6 separate regions of the Mus musculus genome follow, and regions 2, 3, 4, 5 and 6 are each reported to be linked to region 1. Evidence: microRNA targets listed by miRTarBase, many of them from high-throughput screens and not tested one by one. Region 1 holds a microRNA gene; each other region holds the end of a gene's coding sequence.
Evidence for each region. Region 1 holds the annotated microRNA mmu-miR-1896 (CUCUCUGAUGGUGGGUGAGGAG, at 1,527-1,548, opposite strand). A microRNA usually pairs through its seed, bases 2 to 8, with sites in the 3' UTR of a target mRNA and lowers its output. Matches are read on the target gene's strand: a 7mer-m8 pairs with bases 2 to 8, a 7mer-A1 pairs with bases 2 to 7 and ends in A, and an 8mer does both.

Region 2: miRTarBase lists Dph6 as a target of mmu-miR-1896. Seed matches in the 3' UTR shown: 7mer-A1 at 1,929-1,935.
Region 3: miRTarBase lists Ces1g as a target of mmu-miR-1896. Seed matches in the 3' UTR shown: 7mer-m8 at 1,081-1,087.
Region 4: the mRNA of Map3k20 is a reported target of mmu-miR-1896. The part of its 3' UTR that is shown has no 7-base or 8-base seed match.
Region 5: the mRNA of Smpd4 is a reported target of mmu-miR-1896. Seed matches in the 3' UTR shown: 7mer-m8 at 1,907-1,913.
Region 6: the mRNA of Mettl2 is a reported target of mmu-miR-1896. Seed matches in the 3' UTR shown: 7mer-A1 at 4,588-4,594 and 7mer-A1 at 3,906-3,912.

What each region holds. Positions count from the first base shown.
Region 1 is chr13:21,441,682-21,446,756 of GRCm38, reverse strand. It overlaps Mir1896 (microRNA 1896), which reads right to left and starts at 1,597; the gene lies at 1,517-1,597. It overlaps Zscan26 (zinc finger and SCAN domain containing 26), which reads left to right. Exons shown (of 6, transcript NM_001347491.1): 6 at 928-4,577. The coding sequence ends at 1,826. It overlaps 4930470G03Rik (RIKEN cDNA 4930470G03 gene), which reads right to left. Exons shown (of 4, transcript NR_151504.1): 2 at 4,976-5,075; 3 at 2,564-2,686; 4 at 1-1,835.
Region 2 is chr2:114,513,522-114,518,596 of GRCm38, reverse strand. Dph6 (diphthamine biosynthesis 6) reads left to right here. Exons shown (of 9, transcript NM_025675.5): 9 at 305-2,179. The coding sequence ends at 358. Among named protein-coding and RNA genes, the nearest start is that of Gm31146, 86 kb to the right of the region's middle.
Region 3 is chr8:93,298,696-93,303,770 of GRCm38, reverse strand. Ces1g (carboxylesterase 1G) reads left to right here. Exons shown (of 14, transcript NM_021456.4): 14 at 683-1,402. The coding sequence ends at 866. Among named protein-coding and RNA genes, the nearest start is that of Ces1f, 21 kb to the right of the region's middle.
Region 4 is chr2:72,440,921-72,445,995 of GRCm38, forward strand. Map3k20 (mitogen-activated protein kinase kinase kinase 20) reads left to right here. Exons shown (of 20, transcript NM_023057.5): 20 at 312-1,690. The coding sequence ends at 1,018. Among named protein-coding and RNA genes, the nearest start is that of Gm39847, 21 kb to the right of the region's middle.
Region 5 is chr16:17,642,305-17,647,379 of GRCm38, forward strand. It overlaps Smpd4 (sphingomyelin phosphodiesterase 4), which reads left to right. Exons shown (of 19, transcript NM_001164610.1): 19 at 170-2,526. The coding sequence ends at 499. It overlaps Ccdc74a (coiled-coil domain containing 74A), which reads left to right and starts at 4,166. Exons shown (of 8, transcript NM_001166164.1): 1 at 4,166-4,479. The coding sequence starts at 4,221.
Region 6 is chr11:105,139,474-105,144,548 of GRCm38, reverse strand. Mettl2 (methyltransferase like 2) reads right to left here. Exons shown (of 9, transcript NM_172567.3): 9 at 3,403-4,988. The coding sequence ends at 4,780. Among named protein-coding and RNA genes, the nearest start is that of Mettl2, 16 kb to the right of the region's middle.

The DNA of each region.
Region 1 (5,075 bases):
GCCAAGTTTTGTTTTGTGCCCTGAATCTGCTATAGATCCCCTCTGAGGGGAACAAATCATATTTCAACATGATGTTTTTGTGAATGCATTATTCTCAAGGTCTTATGCTCCCGGTACTGTTGATTTATTGTTAAGAACGTAAACACTTTTTCCAAGATTACATACTACTCAGTGATAAAATTGGCACCATGTCAACTCATCTTCATTTGTCAAAGTACCTTCCCTGCTTAACTTGATGGTCCTCGGGTGACCTGATTTATGGTGCTTTTTTGTTTCCCAGGTGACAAATCATGATCAAGAATATGCAGTCATGCTTAGTAGCTTCTGTGTGTGTAACATATGTCACATAATAAAATATAGAACATTTAAAATAAATCACCTCCCACCACAACCCCTGCCCTTCCCCAAAGCCAATCTGGTTAACACTTTCCCAGATGTCAGGCTGGACGTGGTGGTGCTGTAACTGTGGGACCTGAGAGGAGAGGATTAGGTTAGGCCATGTTATTCTGCATAGTGAAAACTTACCTCAAAAAAAACAAACAAAACCACAGTTTCTTGTAAATCACTCTTTATATATATATAAAATAATCATGAGCAAAATTTTGTTGTTGTTTTTTTACTTTGTGAGGATTGAAGCGATCTCATCTCTTAAGAAAACTTTTACAGAGGATCTGGTTTCAGTTCCTGTCAACTACATTGCAGCTCACAACATTCTGTAACTCCAGTTTCCGGGAACTGGACAGCCTCTTACGGTTTCCTTGGCACTGCATGCATGTTGTGTACATGCATACATGCAAATAAAACACACATAACATGTTTTTACATTTATACACATGGCTTTATTTAAGTATTTCCTGCTATTTGCAGATTCCTTTCCCTGAACACCAAAAATAAAATAATTAGTGATATATATATTTACTATTTCAGGTAAAGAGACAAGGAGTGAGAATGGGAATCTCATTGCAGGGACAGACTCTTGTGGAAGAATGGAATCATCTTGTACCATGACTGAACCCATTGAGGCCCAGTGTGAGGACCTGAGCTTGAAAAAGAATCCAGCCATGCCCAAGGAAAAAACTAACAGCCAATGCTTGGAAACTAAGGAGAGACTTGTTCAGAACTCAGGCCTGATTGAACATGACAGGGCACATACAGGAGAAATGTCCTGGGAATCTGTAGGATCTCAGAGTTCTGTTGCTGCTGACCATCAGGAAATCTCTAAAGACAAAGGTCATCCCTGCCAAGAGTGTGGGAAAGTCTTTCAGAGAAGTTCACACCTCATCAGACATCAGAAAATCCATCTTGGGGAGAAGCCTTACCAGTGCAAAGAGTGTGGAAAAGTCTTTAGCCAGAATGCAGGTCTTTTGGAGCATCTCAGGATCCATACTGGAGAAAAACCCTATCTGTGTATCCATTGTGGAAAGAACTTCAGGCGAAGCTCTCATCTTAATCGACACCAAAAAATTCACAGTCAGGATGAGCCCCGAGAATGCAAGGAGTGTGGGAAAACCTTTAGTCGGGCCCTCCTCCTCACCCACCATCAGAGAGTCCATGGTCGTTCCAAAAGACATCACTGTAATGAGTGTGGGAAAGCCTTCAGCTTGACCTCCGACCTTATTCGACATCATAGGATTCACACTGGAGAAAAACCTTTCAAATGTAATGTGTGTCAGAAAGCTTTCCGCCTAAATTCACACTTAGATCAGCATGTTAGAATCCACAATGAAGAAAAACCCTACAAGTGCAGTGAATGCAATGAAGCCTTCAGGCAGAAGTCTGGTCTCTTTCAGCATCAGAGACATCACCATAAAAGCAAACTGGCTTGATGAGGTTCTCTGTTTGAAACATGGAAATGTTACATTGATAAGCAAACAGCGCCTTTTGAAAGAACTCACGACGGCTTCAGGATTCTTGGAAGCCATTTGCCTCCGTTGTGTCCCTCTCTTGGCTTTACTTAAAGTCATAATTAGACTATAATAATTTACCAGAATAGCAGAATCAGAGTTAAACAAATATTCACTACAGAGCTTCTCAGAGCTTTCAGTGTGATAAGTACTTGATTATGTATCTCTTAAGTATTAGCTTTATGTGTGAATGAAGTGTTTGAAATCAGTAAGTCAAGTGCCTATAGATTTATACAGGACAAGATCAAGCTGATATTTTTGTAAGTACTGTAGCAACAGGCTCCTAAAACATAAAATTAATGAGGGTTGGGGATATGCTCAGTGGTTTAACCAAGTTGCTATGCAAGTGGAAGGACTGTTTTGGATCCCCAGCACCCATGTAAAGTCAAATGAGTATGTGGCCAGCCTGTGGCCTGTGGTCCCACCCCTCAGGTGGCAAAAATGGGATCTTTCTAGCAAGCTGGCTAGCCAGACTAGCTGTATCAGCAAACTTTGGACTCAGGGGAGGGAGTTTGGAGAGCAGTCGGTGGAGTTCTTGAGGAAGACTCCTGATGATAATCTAAGTGCACATGTGTCCATACGTATGTAGAGCCATACCTGCAAACATCATACATGTGAAAAGACAAATCCTAAGGAGCTAGAGTTAGCAGTTAACATACCTGCTCTTGCAGAGGACCCATCCATTTTCAGTTCCTAGCACCTCCATAGCACAGCGTCTCACAGTTCCAGTTCTGGGGATCTGCTAGCCTTCTCAGGCTTCTGTACACAGTGGTCCACAGAAACTGGTGGACACACACACACAACTGGTAAAATATTTTTAAGCCCAAAATAAATCTAATAATGCTTAGAAATACACATCCTCAAGGGTCTAACGTAGGTTAACTGAACATTTTCCCTGTTAGGTTCACACAAACACTGGCTTCATATCCACTTTACCTTTGTACCATCAATGAATGCATTTCTGAAAGCTTTTGCTGTTTAACTATAGAACCTACCCTTAGGATTAGCTCATGTCATTTTACATTTCCTGCCCATTTTAACCACAGTATCACAGTGTTTCAAATTATAAATCAAAGTTTTACCTAAACTATGCAAGAGACTTTGAGTCATTTGAGTGAACTGTGTTGAAGTATTCTAAGCAGCGACCTCCTTACTGGGCAGCAACAGTGCCAGTACAGTGACTGCTTGAAGGACACCTTTTTTCATGAATGTCCCATGGGGGGAAATGGGGTTTTCCCCCTTTGATACCAATGATGCAAATTTAAATGCTACTTGTTTTGATATTATTTTGACCATGCAAATCAAATCAGCTCGGAGAGATCATGGCCATCAGGTCATATTGACTGTCTTGCTAGTGATGAAAAGTAATAAGCTTGGAGTCTTCCCAAGCCCAGCACCCGACTGCTAAACATGGCTTATGGTTGGTAATTGCACAGGGTGTACTTCTCAGGGAAAGGGCTTCTTAAGTTATGCCGCTTTGGGAAGAGAAGGGGACCCTTGTACTGACTACAACTTGGTTTCACTACACTTGACTTACAAATAAGCCAAGAACTTAGCAACATAGAAATGCTTATTTTTCTTGTCCGATAGAAAAGGATAGTCAGTCCAAAACAGATCCATGGTAAACCTAGTCAGCTTGCTGCCAGTCATGTCTAAGGAGGGGACAGGCCAAGGACTGCTAGGCACCTAGGTGCAATTCTGACATTAATCTTCTGTTTCATGCCCTTTTTTTTTTTTTTTTTTTTTTTTTTTTTGGTTTTTCGAGACAAGATTTCTCTGTGTAGTCCTGGCTGTCCTGGAACTCACTTTGTAGACCAGGCTGGCCTCGAACTCAGAAATCCGCCTGCCTCTGCCTCCCGAGTGCTGGGATTACAGGCGTGTGCCACCACTCCTGGCTCGTTTCATCCCCTTTTAACCAAACTTTGCTCTGCACAAAATAAGGCCCTCTTCCTTTGTTAAGATTTGACCTAAGATACACTCTAAGCAAAATTGGGGAGAGCTGCACAAAGGGACTGGCTGAACTGAGAAGAACCTCTCTTGGACCTTTTGCCCACACTTTGCATGTGATAGTTGCAACTTCAGCAGTCATATGGCCTTAAAAACTGATGGCATGGACCAAGGTTAGGTCCTCAACACCACCCAAAATAACAGTGTTAGCGTGTGATCAGTCTCCTTCATGTTTAACTCCGATCCACACCAAACGTGCATGTAACAGGCATTGTAACCCTTGTAATTCCTAAGCCTCAGAAGAAACACAGTCTTAGAACATGCTTTACATCTCTACTGTGGAACATCCTTTTATGCATCACTGTTTGTGTGAAAGTGATGTTCCTTTTCTGGCCTTTCTCTTAGCTTCTCCTTTTACTTCCAAACAGCATGGCCCTTAAAAATTAGAGAACTATCAAAATTTTAAATGCACATTATTCTTCGTCAGTTTGTGTGTGTAATATTTACTCAACAAATATATTTAAAGCAACATAAAAACATAATTATTGATAGTGTAAAGAGAATACTTTTCTATGGAAATAATGATATTGACAGTATTGTAAACAGTCTGTAAAGTGTTAATAAAGTTTCAAAGTAATTTTTGAATAAAATTAAAGCTATAAAAAGAAAGTAAAGATTTTTAAATGGTGTTTCCTACAGCATTACTTAATAAAGAATATAACTAAACCTGCATTATTGAGGATAGTTAAGTAAATTATTGTACCCTATACAACGGAATATTGTTGGGATGTTTATGCTTATGGGTCTGGGAGAGGCTCGGTTGGTAAAATGCCTATGACAGTGGTAGGGATGGTAGTATAGAGCTATAATCCCCCTGGGGGTGGGGGATCCCCAGAGCTTGCTGGCAGCCAATGTAGCTGCATCAGTGAGCCCCAAGATTCAGTAAGAGACCTTGTCTAAAAAATAAAGTTGAAGAGTTATAGAGAAAAGCCTCAGGAATCGACCTCTGGCCTCCATACCCACATGCACATGTGGATGTTCATAAACACTCAAAACAACAATATTTTTCAGCTGCTATAGAAAAAGGATTGCTGTCTTAGCCAAATAATAAAGTGCAAACTTACATTTTGATTTCCGTAAGTGCTTCAAAAGCTATTATTCTCGATGAACAAAACGTTCCCAAATGTCCTGAGAATTTATAAGACATCTCTAGGAAGGTTGTGG
Region 2 (5,075 bases), not on the chromosome of region 1:
AACAAAAATTAGTGACATCACAGAATGGCATTATCCCATCTACACACCTTCTAAAACTTGAGAATGGAGCCTCACCTTAACCCTCGGCTCCTTTCTCCTTTTGGTGCCAGGAGCACAGCTAAGAAACTAGTGCACGAATCTCTTGCTGATTCATTCCTCCATTCCAAATGCAGCCTCACGCAAGTAGCTCCCTGGGCTTCTCTTGCTATTTCACATTAGCCCACCATAGGTAACTACTGTTTCTTTATGATAGAGTATTACTGACATTAACAAATATGTCTCACTTTCCTTTGTTTCCTTGTAGGTGTCGTCAGTACCTGCGGATGATGAAACAGCTAACTCTATACACAGCTCTTAACATTTATGCTGCATTTTAAAATTATTATGACACATTTCTTACTACATTTTTTCTTTACTTCTTTAAAAAAATATATTGGGACCATTGAATAACTGGAAGAATTTCAGTGAACTCTTCTCTGATATTTCTTCAACTTACTTTCTTTAAAAAAAATAATTTATTTTTTAAATTCCTATTAGATTACTATTATACCACCCGTACTTTCCTCAAAACCCTACAATATACGCACCCCCACACACACTCCTTTTCCAATTTATGGACACAGTTTTCATTAGTGTTGTTATACGTCTCTTTCTCTCTTTTTCTCTCTGTGTGTGTGTGCGCGCGCACGCGCATTTCTGTGCGCATTTGTGTGTGCATGTATATATGTCTTTCTGTCTGTGCCCTCCTCTTTCTCTAGACACACACACACACACATTCCTAAATACATAAATACAGCCTGCCCAGACTGTATTGCATGGCCTGTATTGTGTTTTCAGGGTTGACCATTTGCTATTGGATAACCAGTTGGTGTGCTCTTCCCTCATGAACTTCCTCATCTACTTTAGCATGTCTGTCAATACCCTCCTTGTTCAGACCATGTTTCAGGAGCCATGTTGATGAGACTTCATGGGTGCAGCTCCGGAGACTCCTGAAAGAAGCAAACTCCCTGATCCTCTGACTCTCACCATCCTCTATCTCCACTTTACTTTCATGTTGTAAGGAGTCTCGAGTCTCGTGGCCTTTGTGTCACATGCCCCTGTATTGCCCTTTGATTTCGCTCCAGCTCTCTGTCTAACGTTTCCTTGTCTGACTCTTTTCTTCCCTCTCTTCCACATCCCATGTCACGAAAAGAGGCATCAGAAAAAGAAGACTCTGATCTAGACAATCAAGCTCGTTGTAATCAGGTGTCAGTGCAGCGATTGACCCTTTTTGTTTTTTATATATTCATTGTTTGAAACATTCAACAGCATTGGATAATCAGAAATATTATCATAAATAGCTGAGTATGTTATGATTGGTTTTAAAGAATTTTTAAATATCACTTATGTATAACTTATATATTAAAAAGACTAGAATAATTTTATGTTCACTTCAAAACTGAATGGAAAAGCACAAAGTGCCCATGTATGTGTTTTGTTCCATTGGAGCACTGTCTGCCTTATATCAGTGTACTACTCCAGAGAGAGGTATTTTGTAACTGATAGACTCACATTGGTAGATCCTTATCAAAGGTCCGCCTTTAACCAGAAGTGGTGGCTCCCCTATAATTCCAGAACTTGAGAGATTGAGGCAGGAGCAGTGTTATGAGGGGTGGCCTAGATTACCTTGGCTCAAAACAAAAAAGTCATAGTTTATATAAGATCTCACAATTGTGGTTTTACATTCCACGGGATTTAACAAATGTTCAAAGACATATATGCATCATTACACTCCTATAACACAATAGTTTTACTGTCTTAAGAATCATGCGTAGCCAGGCAGTGGTGTACACCTTTAATCCCAGCACTTGGGAGGCAGAGGCAGGTGGATTTCTGAGTTCGAGGCCAGCCTGGTCTACTGAGTGCGTTCCAGGACAGCCAGGGCTATACAGAGAAACCCTGTCTCGAAAAACCAAAAAAAAAAAAAAAAAAGAATCATGCGTGCTCCACCTATCCATCCTCGGTCTGCTCTGACTCCTGACAACTACTATCTCTCTGCTCTCTAGTTTTGCATTCTTCAGAATATTGTGTGGTAGCAATCCTTCACTTACTAATATGTGTTTCGATTCCCTCACTTCTTGTTATGGCTGTTTCTACTTTTTGGCAAGTATGAATAAAGCTGCTATCAACATTCATGTACAAGTTTTGTGTGAATGTCAGTTCCTTTGTATGACTACCAAAGAGCATAAATATGCTATCATCAGTGTGCTAGGTTTATTTGCATTGCTATGATATATATTCTAACAAAAACAAAAAAGGAATAAACAAACAAACAAACAAAAAAAACAACCTAGTGGAGGAAGGGTTGTTTGGCTTACAGTTCTGGACTAGCATCTATCATTAAAGGCAAATGAGCTGACACTCAAGCAGCTAATCCCATTGTATCCACAGTAAGGAGCAACGATCTCCTTTCTATTTCACTTCCATATATCTCTTACGTATCTCATAGTCCTGTCCATCACCCCTTTTAAAGTTGTATCTGCCCAAGCTCCTTCATTTTCCATTTATAGGAGTGGTTTTCAACCTGCCTAACACTGCAACCTTTAATACAGTTAATTCTAAATGTTGTGGTGACCTCCAACCATAGAATTGTTTTTGTTGCTGCCTTATAACTTTTGCTACTGTTTGGAATCATAATGTAAATATCTGTTTTTTCTGATGGACTAAGGCATATCCTGTGAAAGGATAATTAGAACCCCAAAGGGGTCAAGGCCTACAAGTTGAGAACCAAAGCTTTATAGTGTCTGGATCCCTGCATGAAATCATACAATGTTATCTACATTAATAAGATCATTATCTATAACCGGATACCAGAAGCACATGTCGTAATGCTCTAAGATCTTTCATTACACTTGGTCTCCGGGAACCATATGAGCATCCTTGCTTAGAAAAAATTGATGCTCCTATGTTGTGCCACAACTTTCTACCTCCCCTGACCTTTGTAAACTGTTGGCACCACACCAATGGGCCAGTGTTGAATTCAAATACTTACATTTAACCATACAAGTTAAATTGCCTCAATGCTGACTTTGTTTTCTGTTGTAACGTTATTCAGTTGTTTAGGCATTTATCATTTCTACTGCTTTGCAGATTTTTGTGAGCCAGTCCTTTTTCATTTTCTTGTCATCTGAGACATCTAGGAGATCTAAAAATACCAGCTAAAACTTTAAAAATAACTTTTCTAATGAACTATCATTTTTCAAACTTCACTTTCTTCTTCATGAAGAGTTTTAGAGATGTTTTTTCCATTACATATTATAAACGAGTTTACATCTCTTTCTTATGTTATTATTGGACAAAAGTGTGTAAGAAAACTGGAGTGCAAAATACAAAATATAGAGATTGGTAGTGGACATTTTCAATATATCATTTAGACACTCAACTTATAAAATGATAACTTTAAATAATTTACTTAAATTTTATGTTTTTATATAATAAGTTACTGATTTAAGTATTAAAAGTATACCAATTAGATCTGAAGTCCCAAACAATGTAACTGAATAATGGAAGGCCTGGGTTAAAATTCAGAAAATCAATATTAATCTTTCTTTGGGTCTCAGTCTTTATTGCTTATGGAAAATTTGATGCTAAAATGTACCATACATCACACAATGACAAGGTTGAGAAAATGAAAAGTACAAAGCCTTACATAAATCAACAAAAAGATCACATCAGAGTGCCTAAAATTTAACAGAATAACTATTCAAACACCCACCTCACCCATTTCAGCTTTGTGGAAAACAGTATTCAAATTAATGTTTTGGAAAAAAATTGTACTTTAAACAAAAAAAAAGCATTGGAAGCTGGAGAAATGGTTTAGCAGTTAAAAAGCACTCCTCTTCCAGAAGACTCGGGTTCATTTCCAGCACTCACATGTCAGCTCACAACCATTGGTAATTTCAGTTCCAGATGATATGATGCCTTCTTCTGGCCTCCACTAGCACTGTGCACATACCTGGTATAAAGACATGCAATCAAGGAAAATACTCATACACTTTAATGGATAGAATTTTAACTGCTTGCAGAAATTTAATCTCAATTTCAATACTTTCTCCCAATACCAGTTCATCCTTAATTTTCCTTCCTTTGAAAAGTCCTTTTAGTACTAATGTATATGTTGTTGCTTAATGCTTAGCTTTGTCTTTTGCTGAAAAGCTCTCATGGAAATGGTTTGTTTTGTGTGTGTGTGTGTGTGTATGTGTGTGTGTGTGTGTGTGTACATACATACATACATACATACATACATACATACATAAGGACTCCTGTTCCAACAATTTGTAACTTTTAAAAACATCTTCAGTCTCAGCCTGGTTTTCTTTGTTTGTTTTAATGTTTGGCATTAGATCAGCCATATCCTCAAATATCTCAAAAATAACATTAAACCTCCTCTGTTCTAATTTTTCTTAATGTACATCTATGACTACATTGCTTTGCAAAATTATTTTGTCTATCTGATGATTACTGTCCAATTACAAAATAATTGTAGCTTACCATTCTGTTGACGTTACTGTCTGTAATTATTGTACCCACTGCTCATTACAGTGGAAGGCACTACTAGTTTTACTAATCTGAACTAACGTGGCCTTGGTATACTGTGTTTCAAGATGAAGAGTAACATCTAAATTATGGACCTATTTTCTGTCTGAATAACAATTGGAGCAGAGTTATTAGTGCACGTATGAATGAAGATAATACCCCAAGCATATCATTGCCAGATTTATATTGGATTTTTTAGGAAGAGAAAAAGGAGTTGAATTCATCAAATTATCATAATTTTAACTCATTTAAAAGACTTATTTTAAATTAAAAGTAATTAAGGAAATTACCTGGGAATATAGTAGTATAGTATGTTCTACTTTTTAATACACACTTAGTACTATTCTAAAGAGTCCTTTAAACTTTAACCAGAACTCAAGTGAAAACAGTCCCCACTAGAGTTGAAATCTCACTGAATCTGAAGTAGAGTGTAAGGAGAAACTTCTGGGGAGAAACTATCACATAGAAAAGATGACAGACATCTGAAGACAGCAGGCCTC
Region 3 (5,075 bases), not on the chromosome of region 1:
ATTGACTTCTTTCATTTTAGAACCCACTAGAATCTAGAATATCCTACTCACCTATTCTAAGTTTGCAGCAGCATGCTCTCCAAACTTCCAATTTCCTTCACAAACCAATTAAAAATTATTACAAACTACAATACCAGCTTAACCATAGAGTGACCCCTTTCTCAGAAGCAATTTTAGATGTTAGCTTTCAAAGACTGACAAAATGCCCAAAGTCCACTCACTTAAATGAAGGTTGTATTCTAGCTCTGAGTTTCACTTGGACTTTTAATTTGAGGCTTGTGATGAGGCAGAGCAGCATGCAGTCAGGAAGCTATGACAGGAAGGAGTGGGACCCCCAGCACTACTCAAGGTCGCCAGCATTTGCTTCTTCTAACTACACTCCACCCTTTATTCCACTAGCTTCTAGCTCAATACCAGCCTGTAACACGTGAGGATTTGCAGAGAATGCAAGATGTATATCATAACAAACTTAAAAAAGAAAGAAAGAAAGAAAGAAAGAAAGAAAGAAAGAAAGAAAGAAAGAAAGAAAGAAAGGAAGGAAGAAAGAAAGAAAGAAACAAACCCGTGTGCCAGGATTTAGACACCTGTCCATTTGATCTGTGGAAGGTTACAGGCTTCTTGGCAGAGATAAGCCTGGGCATCTTTGTACATCTTGGTGAATTTCTTTTTATTCTGTTTACAGGAACCCTAATGGTGAAGGGCTGCCTCATTGGCCAGAATATGACCAGAAGGAAGGATACCTTCAGATTGGAGTCCCAGCACAGGCAGCCCATAGGCTGAAAGACAAGGAAGTGGACTTTTGGACTGAGCTCAGAGCCAAGGAAACAGCAGAGAGGTCATCCCATAGGGAACATGTTGAACTGTGATCAGGAGGCCCAGTCATGTTTGAGAGTCTGGAGCTAAGAAAAGGGTGACTTTTTGTCAGATATTGTTTCCAAAATCAATCGTCTGACACCAGTGGGACACAATAGGGAGAAACATTTGATTTTATGCTTTCAAATTTTTGGTTTTTGTTATTTGGTTACCTGTGTAGTCCTGGCTTTCCTGGAACTCACTCTGTAGACCAGGCTAGGATTGAAATCAGAGACCCACCTGCCTCTGCCTCCCAAGTTCTGGGATTAAAGACATGTGACACAACTGACTGGCCATATGCTTTCAATTTTTAATGACATCACAAATACATTCCCTTAGAAATCAAACCAGAGTCTCTGTCTTTGGCTCAAAATGGATCTATATACATTAGTGTACTAATAATGTTTTTGTACACTGTATAAAGTTTACCCTTGTGTTATTCAAATGCTCATTTCTCTTCTTTTGTGTCTTGTTTCATTCTGAACATGGCATTGTAATGCTTATATAAAGTATCTCCTGTCTCACATCTGTGTAAACATTTCTTGCCACTTATTCACTGCCTTGTCAATAAATGCTGACCAGTGGCTGAGCAGAATAGGGAATAGGGCAGGACATCTGCCAATGAGAAAAGGAGAGGGGAGAGGAGGAGGAGGAGGAAGAGGAGAGGAGGGGGAGATTCATATATCAGGGGCAGGATGGAGAAATTAGAGCCACCAAGAAGGGATCTGAGCAGCCACATCAATAATAATATGCAAGTATCAACCGGGTGAGAGGCAGCTGGATTAGCATAGAAAGTAAAGGTAGATCATTAAATTACTCAGCTATTGAGGCAAACTTTTAAATAAATATTGGTTTACCAGTGTGATTATTGGGGATTAACATAAAGAAATATAGCCGCTGGCTTAATTCACTGCTTACATTTATATTAAGAATAATTCATTTATACATTAGAGAAGGGAGCATGGAGAGAGATTCAACATCATGAGATGCCACCTCCACAGGAGGTGGATAGATGATTGACTGACCCAATGTCTATGCTCTCCCAAGCACACTGTGGCAGAGGGGAGATGGTTTTTTGCTACTTTTTCCTGGGTCCCATGACAGATTTGGGGCCCATAAAGTAGTAATGGAGGCAAAGGAAGACTGAAAGACAGCAGGGCAAATTACTAGACCCTTTATATTCACAGACTTATATGTCTTATGGCATGGCACATTCTATTCAGAAAATAGCACCAACAGGCTACAATCTCCTCCTCTATAGACCTGAAGGTTGTGGTGCATATGATCTCTCTGAGCTGGCTCTGCTCTTACTGCAGCTGTTCTACAGAGGACATCTGTAGGTTCCACATGTGTGGACACATGGACATAAGGATGTGAGTGGTTCCACAGTCTGTGGTTATTCTGACATGGCATACATTGTCTGCTTTTCCTTTGAAATCCATGCCAAGGATTCCATGAGCCAATAATTTGCATTCTGTGTGCCTGAAGACCCAGCATCATGGATGATGCCAATGGCTGTCCCCAGACGGTAGAGCAGAGAGGCCCTTAGAGCCTAGCTGTAGAAGCTCCTTAGTGCTTAGGTCAGCAGGCAGGGAAACACACCCTCTCCCTCTCTCATGGCTTGCAAGACAGGAACTATGAAAATTCTATTCTCAAGGAAACATGTTAGATTCTTGAGGGCTATACATGGGATCTGAACAATTCCTGCAATGCCCATGAGGCTTCTTTCTCCTACAGATGAAAATTTGTGACTAATTAAGTCTTTAATCTTGTCATCTCCCATAATTATCTTGTTCCCAACATCAAATGGACTTCTGCTATCAACCTGCATGTTTCTTTATTACATTTTGCTGCTGTCTCTCACTGTAAGCAGAGCTAACAGCTCCTACCAAAAACCAAGGTCCACTTGAATGCTGTTCAGTGAGAAGTTTCCACTACCAGCTTACTTAAGCCCCCTTTAATCTCAGTCACAGGCAAAATCTCAGACTGGGAACACAGTGTAGACAACTTCTTTGCCCAAATAAAATAAAACTAGCCTCTTAGGTATTTCCAAAGTTTTACTTTTAAAACATGGCATTATTTACGGAGTTCACTCTCTAGTACTAGACAATCAGGTTACCAAAAACCAAACAACAAAGGAAAAAAGAAAGAAAGCACTAAAAATCTCATAATGCTTTAAGTAAGTTTAAAATTTGGCCATCCTCTGCCAGATGCCTTCAGAGTAACTCCACAAGCCTCGCTACACTCATCAATTTATCCAACACTTTAGTGGAGTGCACGTGATGACAGGCCTGAGATATGGGTAAGCCATGTCCCATTGCATGCTACACTTAGCTGTATTTATGACAGGGTTGGGCCATGTGGAGAACACTAACCTGAGAAGTCAAGAGACTCAGATTCTACCACCTGGCTTTGCAGACTTTTTTTGAAAAGACGGTATGAGGACGGGGCTTTTGGGAAAGTTCTACCTCATACATCCCCTTTCCAGGGCTTGCCACTATACATCACCAGTGTAGACTACATTGCCCTGTTTCTGGAATCTTCACTTGTCTCATACTGTCACATTTTGGCCACTGTGAAAGCTACCAGAACCCAAATTAAGTCACTTGAGTCCATTTGAAGCAAAAAGTAATGTCAAGAGAGTTATAAGAAGGGAATCAACATTACAAAGGAGTCTGTCAAAATCACATCCTTCTACAAGTGCCATTGTAACATGCAATTAGCATATTCTGGGAGGATTCCAGTCTGGCAGCATCTTTTCAGACTTGAACCAATGTAACTGATCCTTGTAGTCAATGAATGGTGTTTCAAAATAGCATTTTAAGAACAATCCTGATGGTTTTGCCTTTAAGTTTCCTTTAACCAGTAGCCTCCAGCAATCTCCATGGCATCTTATCCTGCACCCCAATGTCCTATGTTTACTCCCAAATAAAGTATCTCTCTCCCTCCATGTTTTTATTTAAAGGTTGACTCCCATGGACATACCATCTACAGCATTAGAGTTCTGTCAGTTTATTGAATCTTTTTCCTGTAATATGTTACTTCAATAAGGAGCTTTAATACTATTCCCATAAATGGAAGAGATGTATTAATTACAATAATTTGAAGGCTGGCATTGAAAATGTGCCACTTTTCTAAAACTGTATAAACAAACAAAATTATAACAGACAAAATAATGCCATGTTAAAAATAATATATCCCTAAATAATCATCCAGTATAGACACTGAATCACTGATAGTCATTTAGTAGAATAAAAACTCCCTACCTTGTCCATCATTGTGACAGGCAGTTAGCCAACAAGGGTCCTGATCACTGTCGACATCTCCTTGAGCTTCAGAGGATGTCGTCTGACATGGAAAAAATCAGTCTCCCTGGAGTCAATCTTGTCTCAAGACCAACTGGCAGAATCTTTTATACATCGATGAGACCCATTGGAAGAACTGCTCTCTTCACGCATACACCTGGCCATCTCAAGGGGCATAAAATACACAACCCTGACCACGCACACCAGAGAATCATCTTAAGACTGAAAGAATCTATCCGTGAGAAGAAGACCAGGTGTGAAATGAGAACAACCTGAAATCCCTGAGTCTAACAGAGAAAATCATAAACTCAAGAAGGAAATTTAAGGAGACACTAGAAAATGCAAAGAACTCCCATGTTCATGAATAGGGAGAATTTGTATTGTCTAAATGGCAATAACATGCAGAAAGAAATATACAGGTTGGAGGCAGCACCCTTGGCGGGCCGCAGACAGCCAGCCACCGTCCGGACCAGAGGACAGGTGTCCGCCTGGCTTGGGAGGCGGCCTCAGCCTCAGCAGCAGCGGTCGCCATCTTGGTTCCGGGACTCAGCAGAACTTAGGAAATTAGTCTGAACTGGTGAGAGGGTGCGCCAGAGAACCGGACAGCTTCTGGGACAGGCAGAAGCACAGAGCCGCTGAGGCAGCACCCTTGGTGGGCCGCAGACAGCCGGCCACCGTCCGGACCAGAGGACAGGTGTCCGCCTGGCTTGGGAGGCAGACTCAGCCTCAGCAGCAGCGGTCGCCATCTTGATTCCAGGACTCCCTGGAACTTAGGAATTTAGTCTGCACAGGTGAGTGTCTGCACCACAGAAGCTGACAGCTTCTGGGAACTGCCAAAGCAACACAGCTTCTGAGAAAGGCCTTGTTTTGGGCCTTCTTCTTCGGCCAGGAGGAGGTCCAAAAACAAGATATCTGCGC
Region 4 (5,075 bases), not on the chromosome of region 1:
AGAAAGATAATGCTGTGATACTATACTGTTCCATGTATGTGAAGTTTCTAATACAGTCAGACCATGGCTGCAAAAAAAAAAAAAAAAAAAAAATGCTAACCATATTACATCCTTAATGACAATGTACCTTTCCCACTAGGGGTTCGTGGTAGTAAAGAAAAAGGTCCCCGTGTACCTACCTAGAACTTCCATGAATGGCAATGCTTGGCACGCCCCCAAGCAGCCTTGAGATTGATTGCCTGAGCCAGGCTTATGAATTAGGCATGCAGCTTTGTGGCATGAAAGATGCTCATTTCCATTTTCCCCTGCAGGTGCGGACTGCCAATGGTTAGACACTCTGCGCATGCGGCAGATTGCATCCCACACTTCTCTACAGCGTTCCCAAAGCAACCCTATCTTGGGGTCTCCTTTCTTCCCTTACTTTGCCAACCAGGATTCCTATGCTGCTGCGGTGAGGAGGACCCAGACTCCGGTGAAGTACCAGCAGATTACACCAAGCATCAACCCTTCCCGGAGCTCCTCCCCCACGCAGTATGGGCTGTCCAGAAACTTCTCCTCCCTGAACCTCAGCTCCAGGGACAGCGGCTTCTCCAGCCTCAATGACAGCTCCTCCGAGAGGGGCCGCTACTCAGACCGAAGCAGAAACAAGTACTACCGTGGTAGTGTGTCCCTCAATTCTTCCCCGAAAGGAAGATATGGTGGGAAAAGTCAGCATTCCACACCTTCAAGAGAAAGATATTCTGGAAAGTTCTACAGGCTGCCCCAGTCAGCGCTGAACACTCATCAGTCCCCTGACTTCAAGAGGAGCCCAAATGACCATGACCGCCGTGTGCCCAGGACCATACCCGGGATGCCTCTGCACCCTGAGACTGCCTCCAAAGCAGGGGAAGAGGAGAGCAGGGTGAGCGAAGGGGGCTGGACTAAAGTGGAATATCGGAAGAAGACACACAGGCAACTTTCGGCCAAGACTAGCAAGGAGAGAACCCGTGGCAACTACCGTGGGCGGCGGAATTTTTGAGGGATTGGGTCAGATGCGCTTTTCCAAGCGGGTTAGTAGTGCTTTGTGCAATGGATTTTTGGTAATAAGGTATCTTGAGGTTATAGGGACCAAAAAAAGACTAGTTCTGGGCTTGGGAAACACCTTTTAACTGAAAGGACAACCAAAGCAGGGCCTCAATTATGGCTGTTAGTCAGTCAACTAGAGGTGGCAATTAAACTTGACAATAACTGCCAATGTTTTGTCCCCTGAATTACTATTGAGGTGGGGAGGGCTATGACATTGCCTGCTGGGAACATTCGAGCAGGCTTGGGGCCAGGATAAAGCTAGTGAGAACCACAGAAAAATCATATTTCTGGACAAAACAGGATTCATCTTATCTTCTCTTTCATCTAAGTTCCAAGATGGCTCTGCAAAGCACTGTGGACGATTCTTGAGTTAAAATTTGTTTTTTGATTTTGGGGTTTTGTTTTTTTTTTTTTAACCTACTGGGATAAAATATCATTTATCTTGATTGCTGAGGGATTTTTTTAAAATGCCTCCCTAAATGTTGTGCCCAAGGCAAGTGCCTCACTCATCTCCACTGTGTTAGTATTTATTTTAGTGAGATATTTGTGTTTTCTGCCATGGTCAGTATTGAACTGATTTGGCTTGTCATTTTTAGGTAATAAAAAAAAAGATTATTGAAGTTAATGTTGATTGTATGGTGGCTATTTCATTCATTAAGGTTCAACAGACAAAAGATCTAAATGGCCTGGAGGTTTGTGGCTGGTTCCTTTTCTGAGTCCCCAGGATGCTTTCCACCATCACAACAGAGAGAGCAGAGAGGTGGGTGGGGAGACAGTTCACACCGCATCCTTGGGATGTCAGAACTCTACAAGAAAACAGACGGAGCAGGGTAGCACCATCTCAAGCTAAAAGCCGGAGAAATTAAATTACCATCAGCCTTGTTAGAGCAAGGCAGTAAATACCAGCAAGCCAGTGTGCCGCCGCTGGGAGAGAAGAGGGGGCTGCTTGTAGCCTAGAGCAGGAAGCTCATGGCACGCAAGGATATGAAGCATTGTGAAATACTTCCTATTTTGCAAGTCAGAGAGTCAGGTGGCAACAAACCTGTTACACATCAGACAGATATTACACATCACACATTACTCTCAGTATGCTGAGAACCTGTTCCGCATCCACTAATACTAAGCACTGTGTGCCATTTGATCTGTCTGCTGGGATCATCAAGGATTTTTGTAGCCTTAAAGTCAAGATGGTAGGAAATGACTTCCTTTACAAGGGAAACTTGTCATGACCTAAACGTTGACTCGACAACTTGATTTTATTTACCATTTGCACTTATGAACAAGCAAAGCAATGGGGATGTAAATCAAGATGAGCTTGGTGGGTATGAGGTACCCATTTTCATCATGGCTAACCAACTTAGAAAGCTCCTGGGTCTTTGTCTTCTCCGCTGGAATCTGTTTCCAGGCATCCCCCTTCCCTTTGGCTTTTCTTCCATGTTAAACAGTAGCAAGCAAACAGAAAGGTCTGTGCAAAGTTTGCCGTCTTGCTCTGCTGTTTCCAAAGAGGCAACACGTTCTTTGAGAATGTTTGGATCAATGACAGTCTTGAGTCAGTCACTCTGAAGGGAATGCAGAGGACGGTGTGAGCCAGAACAATAGAGGCACGGCTTCAGGTTGAAAGGTGTTGGTGCAGATGAACGTTGTGTCATGATCCTTGCCACCATCTTGCTTTTGTGGATCCCTGAGTTAGATAATCCAAACTGGCATTCAAGCGACTGACTGCCTGTGGTCTCAGCCTTCTTTTGTACAGTGATTGGTCACTAAAAAAGTTGCTGCAACAGCCCACCAAACTGACCACTTTGTAAAGTCTCGTGGAAAAGTACTTGTCAGCATTGATGCTTCCAGTCAAAATCAAAACAAGAACAGCTGCAGTCTGGTTTTGGGTTGTAAAGAAGTAATAAGAATTGGCCGTGCTTTTTTGCTTGTTTCTTCTCTCTCTCTCTCTCTCTCTCACTCTCTCTCTCTCTCTCTCAACAATACTTAGTCATCAGACATTTGTAAGGTTTTAGCAAGACATGCTCCAGCAAAATAGCCAAATGCCAAAACAGAAATTAAAAACATAGCAGCCTCGGGTTTAGTTATCTACTTAGCACACATAAGGCTTTGGGTTCAATTCTCAACCCCAGAAGACAAAGTAAATAATTTTCAGGAAGTATATTAGTTGTAAGAGGACGGGGATAAGACTGACAGAGAGAAAAAGAGGAAATTTTTAGGTAAGACTGTAAGGGTGTGGCTCACTAGCAGGGCACAGGACATATGTGCATGAATGCACCCACAAGTGAGCGGAATTGTTAACAATTGCTTTCATCTGGTTTTTCCATGAATATAGCTTTAGAGAGAAAAATTAAACTACAATATACTTAAAATGATTGACAGTGAAACTGAGGTCAGTAGAATGTGCCTGGAACTCTCTTCCTTGGGCCTTCTCCAGTGTAGCGGTACCAAAGCAGTGCATAAGCTTCCTGAGACTTTTCTCTGCAATAGATACTACCTGAGTGTGCTGGCTGGTTTTGTGTGTTATCACAGAAAGGAGCCTCCCTTGAGGAAATGCCTCCATGAGATCAGCTGTAAGGCATTTTCTCAATTAGTGATCAAGGGGGGAGGGCCCATTGTGGGTGGTGCCATCCCTGGGCTGGCAGTCTTGGGTTCTATAAGAAAGCAAGCTGAGCAAGCCAGGGGAAGCAAGCCAGTAACATCTCTCCACGGCCTCTGCATCAGCTCCTACTTCCTGTCCCTGTGTGAGTTTTAGTCCTGACTTCCTTTAGTGATGAACAGCAATGTGGAAGTGTAAGGTGAATAAACCCTTTCCTCCCCAACTTACTTCTTGGTCATGATGTTTGTGCAGGGATAGAAACCCTGACTAGGACACTGAGCCAGCTGGAACAGATGTGGGACCCTTCTGAGAGAAGCTAGGAACATCCTGCAAAAGCTAGCTTATAGTGATAACAAGTTGTGGTTGGGCAAAATAGAAGCTGAACTATGAATGAAAAGAAATTCTATGATACATAAAATATTCCTTGTAAACTTTAAATGATATATTAAGCCCATAGGAGAGACTACTTTGGAACTTACTAGAAAAGAGCCACAGGAAGGGCCCAGTGGATAAGGCATTTTGCTGCTGAAGCCTAAGCAGCAGCATTTAGATCCCTAGAACCCATACCAAAAGCCAGTTATGACAGCACTGTCAACTTGGTGTTCCTAGTTGAAGTGGAAAGCAGAGAGTGGCCCAGAAGCTGGAGAGCTGGCCAGCCTAGAAGCAAAGGGAAGCAAAGAAACGAGAGAGACTTGTCTTCAAAATAAGGTGGCAGGTGAGGACTGACACTTAAATGTTGTCCTCTGACCTCCACACTCAGACCATGTGTCCTAGTTAGGGTTTCCATTGCTGTGAAGAGACACCAGGACCAAGGCAACTCTTAAAAAGGACACTTCATTGGGGCTGGTTTACAGCTTCAGAGGTTCAGCCCATTATCATCATGGCAGGAAGTAAGGCAGCATCCAAGCAGGGATGGTGTTGGAGGAGCTGAAAGTTCTACAGCAAGTCAAACAGAAGACTGGCTGTCACATGGCTAGAGGGAGGGTTTCAAAGCCCACCCCCACAGTGACATACTTCCTTCAACAAGGCCATACCTACTCCAACAAGGCCACACCTCCGGATAGTGCCACTCTCTAAGCCAAACACATACAAACCACCATACTGGGCCTTGTTGGTTTTTTCTTTTTAAGATTTATTTATTTTTATTTTATACATATGGATGTTTTGCTGTCACTCAAATACACACAGTCAGACAGACACACACCATACGCACCATACACACACACACATACATGATTAATATAAAAATGGTAAATGTTACATACATAGAAAATTAATTAGCTAAAAAAATTTTACTCTGTGTTTGTATTGCCAAAAATCACTTCTCAATACTTATATAGCTGGTCTAATTGTTTATCTATAAATACAGAATCAAAATATCCTGGGGTCTTCTGAGAGTGGTCAAAATATCCAGTAG
Region 5 (5,075 bases), not on the chromosome of region 1:
AGCAGCAGGGACAGCTGGGATGCCCTAGACATAGCTTCCAGAGAGTGCTCCTGCCCTAGGTAGCATCCTGCCCTTCACGGCCCTGCGTGAGAATCACTTGGTCCCAGAGGCATCCTGGAAGGGAGGGTGCTCTGTGTCTCCAACTGCTGAGTCCTTGTTTGTTCTCTAGTTTGCAGGCCAGATGGCAGCTCTGTGCTCCCGGAATGACTTCCTTGGCAGCTTCTGTCGCTACCACCTCACTGAGCCTGCCTTGAGCAACAGACATCTGCTGAGCCCTGTAGGGCGGAGGCAGGTCACCAATCCTGCACGGGGCCCCAGGCTCAGCCTCCGTTTCCTGGGCAGTTACCGGACACTGCTCCTGCTCCTGATGGCCTTCTTTGTGGCTTCTCTGTTCTGCATTGGGCCCCTGTCCTGCTCCTTGCTCCTGGTCCTAGGATACGTCCTCTATGCCATAGCTATGACACTGCTCACTGAACGGGGGAAGCTGCACCAGCTCTGAGCTGCTGGCCATCCTCTCCTGAGCAGACTGTGGCAGGTTGCTTAGAAGCCAGGAATAGAGGGGCAGGTCATCTTCAGTGTTCTTGGGAGTAGTTTCCCTGCAGTGGTGGAGTTATTCAAAAGAACAAAGAGTTGGAAGGGAGAGTGATCCAGGCAGGCCTGACACAGAAGGGTCAGTGTCAGAAGGTTCATAAGCCATTGTGTAAGACAATCAGTGCTGGCCATGGCTCCTCACCTTCAGTCCAAGGGCACACAAGCAGCTCAATATCCACTCCAGGGGAGAAGCAGGGTTCTAAGAGACAGAGCTTGGGGTTGGAGCTTGGTCTGGCCAGCCTCTGTGGACACAAAGCAAAAAAGCATTGGTTTTGCCTGTAAAACTAAGGAATTTAAGGGAGCGTCACATTTGTAACAACACCTGTATGAAAAAAACACCTTCACATCAAAGCTAAGACACCAAAGGGCTCAAGTTCACCCTGCAGGTGAACACCACCATCTCCAAGGTGTTCTTAAACCAGCCCTTTTGTTGTGGGTGTGTAGCTGTTTTTAAAGAAAAAAAAATACCAACCTGTTTTTTTTCAAAGTTATCACTGGGCTTTGTATTTCGATGTAACTTCAGAATACATCATGGGACCCATGACCAAAAGTCAGCTCAAAACATAACTGAACAAGGATCCGAATAAACCATTCTTGCTTCGGAGATTGTCTGGGCTGAATCTTTAGCCTGTTTACCTGCCAAGGGTCCCTGGGCATTTGGGAACTGTGGAGCAAGCTCCTGGACACGGTACCTCCTTACCTCGTGATGGAGTTCTTTCTGACTGAAAGTCCCCTTTCATGCCTAGGGCATGTTGGATTCAACTTCTGCAGAAACAAGACAAGGCAGACTAACCCTGAGGTGGGGGCAGGCCCTGTGGTGCCCTGAGAACTGATTTCCCTGCTTAACACCTCAGAACTGGCTGTCATCCAGAACAAATACCACATTGGCTTCCAGAAACTTCCTTTTTGTTAAACAGTGTCATTTTTATTTTATGTGAGTGAATGTTGCTTGTGTCTGTTCATCATATGTATGCATTTAAGGAGGCCAAGAAGAGGGAGTGGGTGGGTGCTGGAGACCAAACTCCAGGCTTCTGTAGTGCTCTTAATCAACTACTGAGCCATCTCTTCAGCCTCCAGAATCTTAGAGTCATGGGCAGATGGGGCTGACCTATACTAGCCAGCTCCAGGCCAGCATCTTCCCAGGAGTACAACCTCCTTGTGGTGGGAAGGGAAGTTGCCTTTTGAGTGTCCCACTGTTTCCAATTCCCCTGGTCAGAGCTGAATGACTAGCCCTTACCAACAACCCTATCAATATTTATCTTTTGTGTGGGGGATAGAGATAGTTACTCTTGTGTAGCCCAGGCTGGCCTTGAACTCAGAGATACACGTACACTTACCAAGTGTTGGAATCAAAGGCTTGTGCCAACTCTTTACCTAGCCTGTATTTATTTATGAGATGAATATTTTTTTAAATTTTTTTTCTCTTGACAGTTACACACACACACACACACAGGTCATGTCTTACTCCTTCAAGTGCCCCCAGAGTTTAATGTTTTAGACTGACTTATTGGAGTGTGGGGGATGCAGTGCATGCATGCGTGCCATGTATGGACATAGGTCAGAGGTTTGAGGAATGGAACTAGGTTAGGCCTCAAAGCAGGTGTCACCAGTTGTCAGCGTTCAGTTGTCAACTTGATTCACCTGGGAAAGGGACCTTTTCTTGATTGATGTAGCTATCTTCGGGTGGTACCATCCCTAGGCAGGTAGGTCTGGGCTGTATAAGAAAGGTAGCTGAAAGTAAGCTGGGGAGAAAGCCCCAAGCAGTCTCTTGGTTTCTGCTTCAGGCTTCTGCCTTGCCTTGAGTTCCTTCATGGCATCTGTCCATGATAGACTCTAACCTATAAGCTAAAATAAACCCTCTGATGCCCACTTTGCTTTTCTTTTGATCACGGTGTTTATCGCAGCAACAAAAAATAAAATAGGATGCTCAACTAAGCCATCTCCCTGTTTTGGTTTATTTTTAGGATAAGATCTCACTGTGTAGTCTGTAATGAAACTTTGTATCCTAGGCTAGGATTATAGGTATGAGCTTCAAGGATCAGTTTGAAATGATCTTTTTATTATTTGTGTGTGTTTGTTTTGAAGACAGGATTTCACTATGTAGCTCTGCTGACCTGGAACTCTATGTAGATCGGGCTTTTTGCTGTGCAAAGGATGGACCTCTGGGACATGGACATGGTAGACAAGTGTCAAACACTGACCCATTGGGAGGTGACTTTTGCATAGCCTTCTCTTAGAAATTAAGTTTCCAAACCAGGCATTAATCTTAGGATTCAGAAAGGAGGCAGAGGCAGATCTCTGAGTTTGAAGTCAGCCTGGCCTATGTAGCTAAACTATGTCTCAAACAAACAAATCTACCATGTCATAAAAAGTAAGTGGCCTAGTTTTCACGTGGATAAGAGATGAGCCAGCAGTTAAGAAAGAGAGCTTCCTGCTCTTCCAGAAAACCTGAGTTTGGTTTCCAGCAGACACCCAAGGCTGCCTGTAATTCCAGCTCCGGGGCTCAATGCTCACACATGCACACCCACAGAATATACTCATACGGGTACGCATAAATGAAAAAAAAAAAAAAACTAAAGTCTAGAAAGCCAGGACTTTCTTGTTTTTGATCCTGCTGGCTGGGTTCTCTAGGTAAAGGCAAGCACTGGACTTTTGTTTTCTTGAAGACAGGTTCTCACTGTGTAGCTCTGACTGTTCCGGGAACTCACTATGGCAGACTTCGGAACTCTGGAAGATCCACCTGCCTCTGTCTCCCATTTGCTGGAATTAAAGAAGTGGGCTGGCCGGTTCTCTTGTGTTGGTTCAGACAGCTCTATTTATACACAAAGATTCAGTGAGTGTTGGAAGATTTGTGAAACTATTACTATGTATCCAAAAATGTGAGCTATTAAAATGAAAGACTAAGACCCACTTTAAAAGCCAGTGCGACGGGCGGTGGTGGCGCACGCCTTTAATCCCAGCACTGGGGAGGCAGAGGCAGGCGGATTTCTGAGTTCGAGGCCAACCTGGTCTACAAAGTGAGTTCCAGGACAGCCAGGGCTATACAGAGAAACCCTGTCTCGAAAAACAAAAACAAAAAAGCCAGTGCTTTGGCATACATCTATAATCCCGGTTTTACACAATGAATTCCAAGCTAGTTTGCACTACAGAGTGAGACCCTGGTTCAAAAGTACAAGCGGGGCTAGGGTGATGGCTCAGAAGGTATAGTGGTTTCTGCCCAAGCAGGAGAAATTCGGGTCTAAATTCGGGTCCCTAGCACCCACATGAGAAGTGGGGAGGGAAGGCGCACACCCGGGATCTTAAGCGCTGGAAGCCGGGGAAATGGGAAGATCCTGGGGTTCACGGGCCAGCCCAGCTAGTCACAAGACGAGACAGACCTCTTCTCAAAATCTATGAGGTGGGGAATGAGACCGGACGTCGAGTGCTGGTCTCCACAGGCACACGCACCGCACACAGCACTCATAAGAACTACTGTTCCGGACCAGTTCAAGAGTCTGGCGCCTTGGTTTTTGCGGAACGCGGCCGCAGGCCCCGCCCCGCGGCGCGCCCCGCCCTCTCCGGCGCGCCGGTTCCCAAGGCGACCGAGTGCCAGGCTCCAGCAGCCAGTACTGAGCGGCGGCGACGCCTTCATGAGCGGGGCCGGGCTGGCGGCCGGGGCTCGGCCCCTCAGCTCCGCGGCCCCAGGCTCCCGGGGCGCGGCCCGCCTACGCCCGCGCCCTCCCGCCGGCCTGCAGCACGCGGGGACGCAGCCGCCTCCGCTCGGGTTCAGCGAAGCACAGAAGCGGATCCTGGACCTGGAAAAGAGCCTGCAGTTCCTACAGCAGCAGCACTCGGAGACGCTAGTCAAACTCCACGAGGAGATCGAGCACCTGAAGCGGGAGAATAAGGGTGAGCCTCTGGGTGCTGGCCCAGCATTTACAACCTGAAGGTCACGGCCATCAACTCTTAACAGTCTCCGGGTGCGGGGAAGGATGCGGGAGGCTTCTCTTCGGTAGGGCCTGCCGATAGGCTCAGTCCTCCTGTGCCCACCAGCCCAAATGAACGCTGACCCTCCTGTGCACTCTGTGCAGGGCAGGGTGTAGTCCGGCTCATTATTTAAAACTGTTGCCGAAGTTAAACAGCACACAGCAAATTCCAGTAAATGGGTCACCAACTAAGCACATCCAGATTTTGGGCAGGGATTGCCAGGATGCTGCTCCACCCCACCCCCGACCCCCACCCCCAAGGCTTGGCCTACTCAGAACTTCAGGCCACCCTGTGACATAACTGCTTTTCACTGTCTACAGCTCAGCTAGGGTTCCTCTGCTTCCCCCCACTCCATGCCCTGTGCCTCGGGTTTCTCCCTCTTTCTGGTGTTGTCTTTACCTGGGCATCTTATTACATTAGGGCTCTGCTTGAGACTCACCCCATGTCTGACTGACCAGCCCCATGCCACACCCCACTTACCTTACCATTGCCAGGGGCTCCTGGAAGGCTAGCCAGCC
Region 6 (5,075 bases), not on the chromosome of region 1:
TCAGAGCCGGGTGAATCTCTGTGACTTTGAGGTCAACATGGTCTACAGAGTGAGTTCTAGGACAGCTAGAGCTACAGAGAAACTCTGTCTTGAAAAACAAACAAACAAACAAACAAACAAACAACCTTTGGGGATGTGTGCCTAAGAGATCAAACCCAGGGGTCATACGTGCTAGCCAAGAGCTGTCACTGACCTACATCCCTGACAGAGACAGGAAGAGCACCCTCCCTCTCCACCTCACCACACATCCCAGGCTATCACTATAACCCAGGCTGCCCTCCAGTTCTCCATCCTCAGCACCTTGAGTTCTCGGACTACAGTAGGCAGTGTCACACCCGCCTGAAAGGCATTTTAGTCTCTTAAAAAGACTTTTTCAAATGTTTGTTTTAGGGGACAGGATCTATGTAGCCCTGGCTGTCCTGGAATTTCCTTTGTAGACCAGGCTGGCTTTGAACTCATAGACATCCTCCTGCCTCTGCCTTCTGAGTGCTGAAATTAAAGGTATGTGCCACCATAAATTTCAGTCTTTTTATTTGAAACAGGACCTTGTAGTTAGCTCTGGCTGTCCTGGAATGATGTAGACCAGGTTGGCCTCAAACTCAAATGTATCTGCTAGCCTCTGCTTCCTGAGTGCTGGAATAAAGCCACCATGCCTGGCTCTACATTTCAGTCTTAAAGTCAAGGTTAGGGACATAGGTTCAATGGTATAGCATTTGCCTAGTTTGTACAAGACTGTGTGTGTGTGTGTAAGGATAGCAAATATTCCAAGAAATGTTAGCACATTTAGATTGTTCAGCAAGGGCTCTGCTTATTTGGATAAGAGATTTGGGATCAGCCTTAGCTTGACAAACCTTTGTCCCCACCCAATGCCCTGATGTGCTAACCATCAACTTCTGGTGTAAGTTTGGCAGCATCTCTTCTCAGGGAGCTCCCTTCCACTGTCACTCCCATATCCCAGATTAATAACCCATTCTTCCAAGCTGTGTTGTTTCTAGGGTTAACAGTCTCCAGCTGAACTAACAACCCAGCATTCTGGGTTGGGCCAATGGGAATCTGACAACTATTATTCTCTTGGGTGATACTCTACTAAAACATGCTAAGGTTGGGGCTGGGGAGATGGCTCAGTGGTTAAGAGCACTGGCTGCTCTTTTAGAGGTTCTGAGTTCAGTTCCCAGCAACCGCTTGGTGGCTCACAGCCATCTGTAATGGGATCCGATGCCCTCTTCTGGTGTGTCTGAAGACAGCGACAGTGCACTCATACAAAAAACAAAACTTGCTAAAAACAGATGCAGTCAGAGGATGGGTTTCTTCTGCCACCGCATCAGTTCTGGTGACCAGACTTAGGTATGCAGGTTGACAGGCTTGGCAGCAAGACAAAAAGAGCCTTTACCCGCTGACCCAAGTGGCCCGGAAGGTGTGTGTCTGTTTGTCTATCTTTCTGTCTCTCTCTCTCTCTATATATATATATATGTAGTCTCCCCTCCCCCAGCCTGAAACCTGCTTGCTCAGGGGTAGAGCTTGCCGCTGGAGCCGGCCGGGCCGTTTTCCTGTTCCGAAGCCATCATGTGGTCACCCTGCTACTGGACTCCAAGATTATTTGGCAGGAATCGGGCCCCCTTCCCCTGCTTCATAACTGCATGCAGAATAGTAAAATTGAGCTTTGATCAGAATGACTGTCTTAGCTGCATCTTTTTCTCGCCTGCCTAGTCCTTCTTCTCTTCCAGGTTTTTAAAATGCCTTTCCAGGCTAGAACCCAGGCCTGTGATCTGCTGGCCGGACACAACATATATATATATATGAATCTTTTTAAACTTTTTGAGTCTTTCTGTGTAGCCCTGGCTAGAATGGAACTCTCTATGTAGACCAGGCAAGCCTCAAATTCGCAGGGATCTAGATGTCTGTCTGCCTTCTGATCACTGAGATTAAGGTGTGTGGCACTACAAGTAACCAGATATTTTCTATTTTAATGGTGAAATCCTATCTCATGGAAAGGAAACTGGGGAATGATGGATCTGGGTTCATCTCAGGATGAATATTCTGGCTACTGTGCCTTAAAACCCCTCTGTGGAACAAGTAACCATATGTGGCCTTCTGCCCCTAAACTCAGTCATGTTTAATTGTCTACATGGCCCACTGATTAGAGCCAGCAGACCTCTGAGTTGTGAACCTTGGCTGACTGCTCACTGCAGAGGCAGCAGGGTACCACATCACCATCTCAACTGGGAAGCTCATCACCAAGTTTGTCAAATCACAACCTGAAGATCAAATGAAGCAGCGGAGACCTGTGATGCCCTGATGCAGCCGGGCTCTGGACCTCTGGACGTAGCAGCTATAGCCACCAATGAAAAAACAGGCCTTTGTCAACAGCATGAAAGAAACTGCCCCGTGCTCGTCTTTACTCCAGAGAAGCCCTGACTGTTGCCAATGTCTCCAAGGACAGGAATCAAATTATAGGAACATTAAATGTCTCGTGAACTAAGCTTTCCTCTTGTTAAATTTCCAGGGTCCCACTTTTCCAGTCAAGAGTAAAAGAGAGCAAGAAGGAAGACAGGAGACACCCCCCCTCCCCCATACAGGGACCGAGAGAGGTCAGGCTCAGGACGAATCACCTTTGCACCACAGAATCCACACTGGCAAGGACTTGAGTTACACCCTGACCTGGCATGCCTTTCACCCCAACAGCTCTCTGTACTTGCCCCACATCAAACCATCCTTCAGTTTTCAAAGAATATTGACTTTCTCTCTCCAGCTGAATGGCTGGCACTTGACGTAGGAAGATAAGTCTTTTCATGAAGCATTTCTTTTTTTTGTTTTTTTTTTTGAGACAGGGTTTCTCTGTGTAGCCCTGGCTGTCCTGGAACTCACTTTGTAGACCAGGCTGGCCTCGAACTCAGAAATCCGCCTGCCTCTGCCTCCCGAGTGCTGGAATTAAAGGCGTGCACCACCATGCCCCGCTATCCTGAAGCATTTCTGTTAGATACACCTAAGCAAATCTTTCTAGGCAGCTTCGCAGCTGGAGCCACCTTCCCAACCCAACTGTTTTCAGGAAACTCAGCCGCGTCAGGTTTAATTGTAGAGCCACGTGCAGCTATTAGAATGATTCAGCTAAAACCCTTTGGACAGAGACCATGGGAAATGTGTGGCAGGGATCATGTGTCAAGGAACTCTCCTACACAACAGTTGATAACTGAGCTTGTGTGGAGGTTTCAGTAGGGGACAGAAGACCAGCTCTTTGATGGTGAAGGTGAAAGGGGACACCTGCTTAGCTGACCAGAGCAAACCAATAAATCCTGGTGGTCAATAGGGTGACAGATGGCACAGCCAGAGTGCTCTCATGCCCTAGAGATGACAGCGAGGGAACCTATCAAACACCATCTAAATTAAGCCACACCACCAAAAAGATATAGAAAATTATTTTATTTTGGTACGTATGTCTGAGGACACAGACATGCTACAGCACATGATGGCTCTCTCCTTCCACCATGTGGGTTTTGGGGACATGAATTCAGGCTGTCACGCTCGGCAGCAAGTGCCTAAACCTGCTGAGCCTTCGTTCTAGTGCTAATACTGGAGACAGTAAAAGGCCCTCATAATCCAGCACCTTGCAGCGGAGCACAGCATCACCTCCATCCTGCCCCAGGATCAAACAAGCCAGGCAGGCTTTCACCATGTAGCTTGGGCTGGCCTGGAATTGAAGGCAGTTCTCCTATCTCAGACCCCCCATGCCAATTTAGATTAAGCTAACACCCCGTACCTGGCTGGCTCCAGGGCTCATGCCACTGAGCCATATTCACCATCTGTGAGATGGTTTTACAGTGCAGTCCAGGCTAGCCTTGATCTTAACGGGATCCCTGTGCTGACTCAGCCTTTTTTTTTTTTTTTTTTTTGGTTTTTCGAGACAGGGTTTCTCTGTATAGCCCTGGCTGTCCTGGAACTCACTTTGTAGACCAGGCTGGCCTCGAACTCAGAAATCTGCCTGCCTCTGCCTCCTGAGTGCTGGGATCAAAGGCGTGCGCTACCACGCCCGGCCTAACTCAGCTTTTTACCCGCAGGGATTTCTGCTGTGAGCCACCACACTTGGCCAGGCTTGGATTTTAAATTCTTAACTCTCAAATGTGTTAGCATTCTTTTTCCTTTCTTATTTTTCTTTTTTTGTCTGTGTAGCCCTGGGTGTCCTGGAACTCACTCTGTAGACTAGGCAGGCCCTGAACTCAGAGATCGCCTGTCTCTGGCTTCTGAGTGCTAGGATTAAAGGTGTGGACCATCATCATCTTGCAATATGATGGCAAGAGGATCTAAACTTCAAGGTCATTTTTGGTCACAGAATGAGTTTTATATAAAACTCTAGTCATTAAAAAATTTGAGGGCAGTCAAAAAGCTCAAGGTGTTTGCTGTCAAGCCTGAGTCTGAATTCTAGGACCAGCCTGTAGGAGAGAACTGACTCCTGCAAGTTGCCCTTTGAACTCCCCACATTCACCAGGGCATTGCCTCGACCAATGATATTAATAAAACGAACTCCAGAAAATACGCATTAATGGGCTTTAGAAATAAAACCACACTTTTTTGGTTTGCTTTTGGAGACAGGATTTCTCTGTGTATCACTGGCTGTCATCAAACTCAGAGATCTGTCTGCCTCTGCCTCCTGAGTGCTGGGTTTAAAGGCATGTGTCATTGCACCTGGCTAAAAACCGGAAAGTAGTTGTTCTTAGGCTCAAAGTTAGAGCTCCTTGAATCCCCAGACTGTCCATCATCAACAAGCCGCTGTCTACAGATGTCTTCTTACAAAAGCCCCGAATGTGAAGAACTTTCTGTGGCGTGGGGAATGGGCACATGTTGGCTGGAGCGGAGTGCTAGAGGCTTGCTGTATTTGCACTGAATCCAGACGCGGTACATGGTCAGCTGTTTCCCTCGATTCACCTGCAAGCGGCGATCCACCAGGTTCTGCACCTTCTCCAGGCCAGCAGCGGTGAAGAGCGTATCCAGCTCACCTGGTGTGAAAAGAGCCAGCGTTACAGAGGCTGCTCTGGAGAGAGGGTGCTCTGCTAGCGACTCTCCATGTGAAGTGGAGCCTCGAC